2 linked regions of the Oryzias latipes genome follow. The protein of the gene in region 1 binds, or shares a complex with, the protein of each later gene. Links are inferred from orthologs where the notes say so. Each region holds a gene or a part of one and is shown in the gene's direction. Other genes may lie near its edges.

The links.
Region 2: the proteins of slc3a1 (region 1) and slc7a9 are in contact, whole or in part, in a cryo-EM structure (PDB 6LID), measured with the Homo sapiens proteins. The link is inferred for Oryzias latipes from reciprocal best matches to the Homo sapiens genes SLC3A1 and SLC7A9. Residues at the interface, in NP_000332.2 of Homo sapiens: Pro64, Tyr65, Ala66, Gly67, Met68, Pro69, Lys70, Leu73, Phe74, Phe76, Ser77, Tyr82, Pro85, Arg86, Phe90, Thr93, Val97, Leu100, Ile101, Ala103, Thr104, Ile107, Ile108, Ser111, Cys114, His201, Asp202, Thr373, Glu374, Pro375; in NP_001119807.1 of Homo sapiens: Cys137, Phe140, Tyr141, Val142, Gly143, Cys144, Pro147, Ile149, Val150, Cys153, Leu154, Ala156, Ala157, Leu160, Phe161, Thr164, Leu168, Thr279, Thr281, Asp295, Arg296, Tyr299, Tyr343, Val346, Arg347, Lys467, Thr470, Met471, His472, Gln474.

What each region holds. Positions count from the first base shown.
Region 1 is NC_019873.2:16,356,245-16,358,817, reverse strand, and holds the end of slc3a1 (neutral and basic amino acid transport protein rBAT), read left to right. Parts: intron 1-8; coding exon 9-133; intron 134-600; coding exon 601-802; intron 803-916; coding exon 917-1,099; intron 1,100-1,220; coding exon 1,221-1,346; intron 1,347-1,443; coding exon 1,444-1,875; 3' UTR 1,876-1,985; downstream 1,986-2,573. Other genes in the region: prepl (prolyl endopeptidase-like), read right to left, coding at 2,104-2,181. UniProt on the Homo sapiens protein: Acts as a chaperone that facilitates biogenesis and trafficking of functional transporter heteromers to the plasma membrane.
Region 2 is NC_019861.2:25,752,149-25,755,981, forward strand, and holds part of slc7a9 (B(0,+)-type amino acid transporter 1), read left to right. Parts: intron 1-2,943; coding exon 2,944-3,091; intron 3,092-3,833. UniProt on the Homo sapiens protein: Associates with SLC3A1 to form a functional transporter complex that mediates the electrogenic exchange between cationic amino acids and neutral amino acids, with a stoichiometry of 1:1.

The sequences.
Region 1 (2,573 bases):
TATTGCAGGAAGAAGTAACAACTGAGTGGGACCTTTTTCATGATTACACCACAAGTCAGGTTGGCTTGCATGATATCTTGCGTGAGTTTAGGGCTGAGATGGAACCCTACAGTCGCGAGCCTGGAAAATACAGGTAATTCAGCTAATTTATCACATTTAACTATAATGTAAAGGTTGAGGGAAACATTTCGTTTTAAATGTAATAAACTTTCTGTAATGTAATAAACCTTTAACTGAAAGGACTTTGGTCAAGCAAATTTGTATCTTTACAATGTTATCATTAAAGAACTACCAGAATTTCAGTCAATAATTATTGAATATTTTCATTTTCTAGCAATGCATTGTCCTATAAAAATAAGTAAAGATGCATGTATTGTGCATTCCTGAAAATTATAATTTTATTGTTATAAATCAAAGCATCCTATTCATACTGAATGTGAGGATGGGTTTGGAGATGCTGTTTTTTTGTTTTTGTTTTAAGATGATGGATGATTGATTCAAAAAGGTTTTGTAGAATTGATAAATCTACAAACAGCAGCAGCCATCACTTCAAATAGGTACAGTTGAAATTTTCGCTGATGCTGTAATTCTGTTTCACAGGTTCATGGTGACAGAGTCATATGATTATGAAGAGGTGGAGAAGACCATGATGTACTACGGGACCCCCCTGGTCAAAGAAAGTGACTTCCCCTTTAACTTCTACTTGCTGGACTTGCCTCAAAACGCCAGCGGTTTGTGGGCTAAACATCTAGTTGACCTTTGGATGTCCAACATGCCCAGAGGAAAATGGCCCAACTGGGTGGTGAGTCGCACCAACATTTCAATGGCTTTCCAGCTGATTTACTATTCCTATTCATTTTGATTTCCTATTCCTGCTTCATTAGCTGCTGCCTGTATTTCCCTCAACCTCACACAGGTGGGAAACCATGACAGGAGCCGAATTGCTTCCAGTGCTGGTAAGATGTATGTGCGCGTCATCAACATGCTGCTGCTGACCCTTCCTGGCACCCCCACCACCTACTATGGAGAAGAGATCGGCATGGAGAACATCAACATCACAGCAGACCAGGTTCAGGACCCCTTTGGCAAATATAACCTGGTCAGTATTTTGCTAGTATTAAACAAAACAAAAGTCTCCAGTCTTTTGGATTGCTTTTATTAAAAATATAGAAAAGGACTATGTGAGTGGGTGCCAAATGTTTACTGTGCTTTCTGTGCAGAGCAATAGTCGGGACCCTCAGCGCTCTCCCATGCAGTGGAACAGTGACATGAATACAGGCTTCAATAACTTAACCAACATCACGTGGCTTCCTGTACACCCAGATTACAAAAGTGTCAATGTGGAGGTGAGGAGCTTTTTAAGAACAAAACAAACATCTGACCTGAACGGGCTTAAATTTGCCTTCTGTTGATCACATCTGCTTTCCAATCCTTTCCATCCAGGTCCAAAAGGACAGTGAAGGATCCACAATGTTTCAGTATAACTTTCTGAACAGCCTGCGGCAGGCAGAGCTTCCCTTTTTGCGAGGCTGGTTCTGCTACGTTCAAGCTGATGCAAACATCTTCTCGTACCTTCGAGAGCTCGACGGTCACAAAGAGGCTTACCTTATGGTGCTTAACTTTGGTAAACAATCTGCCACAACAGATTTGTCCTCTGTTCGTGAGCTGCCGGACCAGCTGAAGGTACTGATGAGCACCAACTCCATCAACAATGGAAAAGTCTTTCAGAAGTCTGGCATCCAGACAGAAGCCGGAGAGGGTTTGGTGATTCGATACTCCACCTACACTCGCTTTCATCCCAGTCATGCCACAGAATGCTATGTCTCTGAGAAAGCCTGCTACCTGGACACCGTTGGGATTCTTTATAAATGCTAAAATAAATGAACAGCTGTCGTCAGTTATTCTCAAACTTGATTCAAATACCAGTAGTTCAAAAATTCATGTTCCCTGGAATACAGTGAAGAATAAAGTTGCACAAGCATTTGCTACCGATGTCATCTGTTTTTCAACAGGCTTGTCACCGATTTTTGTTGGATTATGTCTTGTTCTGGCTGTAATGACAGATGTTTGGTTTTTATAGCCAACTGGTTCTTGACATCGTGGCTATCTTTTCCTTTTGCGTGAGAGCAGTGGACGATCCAGGCCTAATTCTGTGTACAGAAATGCAAGCTTGAGCGCTTCCTGTTTGCAGAAATAAGAAGAAAAAAATATCAGAGACATGAACTTTGATAAATTTGGGCAGAAAAAGTAAAATATGACTATAGTAAACTTAACATACACACATTGCCAACTCTACCGGGTGGAAAAGCTTGAAATATTCTTTAAGATTTGGTTGAATGAAACGCTACTTTTAAATTGAAAATATTTGCAACTTTTTAGAAAATACGTTTTTATAAAAATGAGGGATTCTAAAAACTTTTTACTACCTTTTAAAGCCACTTCTAACAGAATGAATGCCTATTTCTGTCATACTGGCATGAACTTTATTCTAACCCAAACCATCTTAAATTCACTCTGAATTATACTTCTGAGGATCTGTCCATCAATGTCAGCCCATCTGTTGTGTGACCACA
Region 2 (3,833 bases), on another chromosome or scaffold:
TTTCTTTGCAATTGTAATGTGGAGAACATACAGAAATTTAATCAGGCTTTTAGCCAAATTTTGTTTATTTGCGCATGCAGAGTTGTATTTGTAATTGTTATTAGCACCAAAATTATTTCTTTTTCACTTTATGAAAAAGTAGATAAATATTTTTACATTATCAGATGCAACACCTGAAACCCCCAGTACACTTGCGGAGCACATTTTACTCCTAAGGTCTTGTCCAACAGATCAGATTGGAATTCAATTATTTTGAAGGCTACAAAAAGCACATCATGACTTTAAAAACATATAAATGATTACTGGAAACTGCAAGCTAACCCCACATATGGCCAGAACAAACTACTTTGCTCCTCCAACGATACATTTCCTATGTAGAAATACATGAGGATGCTGCCCATTCAAATGGGTAATTGACTGAAATATAGTGAACTGCCAGCGTGTGGGGATTTGGGAAGGTTGGGGGTTTTAGACATTTTAAACAAAAATGTAATGTGTGCTCACAAATGTGTATGTTGGGGTAAAAAGTGTTTTTTCGCTCAATGATTGTAATTATAAGATTTAAAAAAAAAATCTTGGTATAATTGTACAAAAATAAGAACTTGGTCAACAATAAAAGTTCACCGCAATACTTAGTAAGGTAATCCTGGTTATCAATTAGGTCTGACGTTTCCTGTAGGTCTTTACCAGGTTTGCACAAAGTGCACCTGCTGCCTTGGTCCAGTCTTCCATGAAGCTGATGTTTTGGGGCAACACAGACTTTCAACTCCCTCCACAGATTCTTTACTGGATTTAGGTCCAGAAACTGGCCAGGCCTCTCAAGTACCTTGGGAAGCTTTTTTTTTGTAGCCGCTCCTTTATTGTCTGTTATGTTTGGGATCATTGTAATTTTGGAACCAGGGCACGTTTCATCCTCAATGGGCTCACCAATGGAAGGTGATTTTTGCCCCACATCTTAGCATTCATGGACGCATTCCTCATTTCCTTAAAATGCATCAGTCATCTGGTTCCCTTAGAAGAAAGGCAGCTCCAAAGCATGATGTTTCCACCTCCATGTTTCACCGTGGATGTGGTGTTCTTGAAATGGAACTCAGGTCTCATCTGACCACACGACATTCACCCATTCCTCCTCTGGATCATTCAGATGGTCTTTGGGAAACCTTGAATGGGCCTGGACATGTTCGTGTCTTTGCAGGGGGATCTTAAGAGTACAGCAGGATTTTAATCCATGAAAATTTAGCGTGTTACTCCTTTATTACATGGTCTTTATTATCAGTTCCTCCCTTGTAGTTCTGAGATCTTTCCTTACCTTCATAGAATAATTTGTACCCCACCAGGTGAGAGGTTGCATGGAGCCCCAGGTAGGAGGAAGCTGCCAATGATTTTTGTAGTTGATTTCGTCTCACCAAGTTGCTTCCTTATTGTAGATTTGTTCCGCCTAGTTCTGTTCAGTTGTACAATCTTAGTGTCCTTGGACAGATCTTTGGTTACTGATAGCCAGTTTGAATATTAATATAAAAATATGTATCGCCTGCACCTTTGTATAGATAAATTCTTTTAAAACATACAATGTGATTTTCTCGATTCTTTTTTTACATTCTGTCTCTCACAGTTAGTTTCTATATGATAAACATTACAGACCTTTTTTCATTTTTTGTCGAACAACTCATAGATCAGCAAGTATTTTTTGCCCCACTACTTTAGTAGATATAGTGTTGCAACATATATCTGGTCATCATACTCAGTGTGATGGTGTTTGGTTTAAAAATACTCTAGATTCTCATTTGTTATGCTGCATCAATGTTACTTAACCAGGTGAAATTGATAAAGCCCATCCAGCACATGACAATAATTTATATCACAGTTTTTTAAAACATAAACCTTTCTAGTTGTTAAACCCAATAAAACACACACACACACAGACGGCGGTAATCATCATCTGTCACGCAAAGAACTTCATCTGGATTTATACTTTTGATTTATTCCATTGCAAAACTGAGCCGCTCAAGTTGCTGCACCAATTACTGATCATAAAGTTGTAAATGAAGTTAAAAAAAGAGTTTCATTTATGCAAGATGTAGTAAATGGTTTATCACTAAATCAAGATTGCACAAAGATAAATATCATGTCAAGACACTGCTCAACTTGGTGGAATGCAGGCCCTTCAAACTTTGTGCGCTGATAGTTCTTGTACACTTATGGAGACTAATCCAGGCCATAAAGATTTGAAAGCCAAATAAAGCAATTTCTTTGGTTTTATTTGGGTGTTGATCTGGGTGTTATTGGTGTCTGAATCTTCCTTCAGTTCTACTACAAGCTTAGTTAAGTCTATTGTGGCCACTTTGTTCACAATGACCATTTCAATAGTAAGTATTTTATTATTCTGTCCGTAATTATCCAAGTTTCCATTGTTAGTGAATGCACCGTGCCGAAAGCTTCCAGCCTCATCATTCTGATTAGTCCTTCATCTAAGCCCCGCCTCCACACGCCAGAAAGGGGACAAAAGTTAAAAACCTTTAGATTGAAGAAAGAAAGAAAAAAAATTTTAAAGTGAAAAAAAAAAAATGTTGAAACTGAAACCTAAAAACAGAAAATTTGAAGCTGAAAATATTGAAGTTTTTGCAGATAGTTTCAGACACTTTTTCAGATTTACACCAATATTTCAGCTTGAATTTTTCAAGTTATTTTATACTATTTTATACTATTTATGGGTTTCAGATCTTTTATTTCCCCGATTTGGCTCCATAGACCCTCCCTGCCTTCATCTAATTTGATCTTGACGTTGGAAAATGATTGCAATAGTAGACTTGTAGACATGTAGACTAAGATGAAGTCATTCAATGTACACTAAGTGTTCAAACATACAGCTTCTTGCAGTGATGACAACTGAACATATTTCTTCTTGTTCTGTGTTTTTTTTAACCTTGCCTTGCGAGTGCTCAGGTTGGCCTGCTGAGTGGGATTTGTCTAATTGTTGGAACCATGATTGGCTCAGGGATTTTCATTTCTCCCAAGTCTGTTTTGCTCTATTCTGGATCTGTGGGACCTTGCCTCCTCATCTGGACAGCCTGTGGAGTGTTATCCACTTTAGGTGAGACTGACTTTGTTCCAGAAATATTTATGATTTCAAGTGCTGTTTATACATTTAACTTTTAGTTTTCTCTTTAAAAATCCTAGTACCTAGATGTGTATATAAAGCAAGAAGTTCCAGTTTTTCATAACTTGCCTGTTCATGGGGTAATCTATCACCAATTATCCAGAGATCAAGAAATGTCTGAAGGAAATTTAGAAAACCCAACTTTTTAGGCATTTTTCCCCTAATACCATTTATTTATTAACATGCAATTGTTTTTTTTAGTCAATGTTTTGTTGGGTCACAGCTGGCCTTGCACTTCTAAAAGTAGGTAGAATGGCTGTGGGGAATCTCAGTAACTTTTGCTGCTGTCCCATGTTATGACACCACAAGATGATTAGCTGTGACCGAGGTCAAAGATGAGACACCAATCCAGAGCGAAAGAAAAAAAGAACACATGAAGAAACCAGATCTTCTCTTTTCTGTCCTATCTAAAGCTGAATGAGTCAATGTGGTGACTTGGGCGGCTCACATGAAATACTTCATAATTTCATATATAATCTTTTTTTTCATGTGACAATTGATCATAACTTTTATTACCACATGAATTTAATTTTCTCTTCTTTTGCACAATTTATTTTTTCCATAGTTCCAGTATTCTTAGAAACTCTAAGATCACACACACACATTTAGACCATCTTTGTTTTTGCAAGTTTATTTCTGAAAGAACTGCAGTTGGTAGTCAAAGTTTAATGAAGAC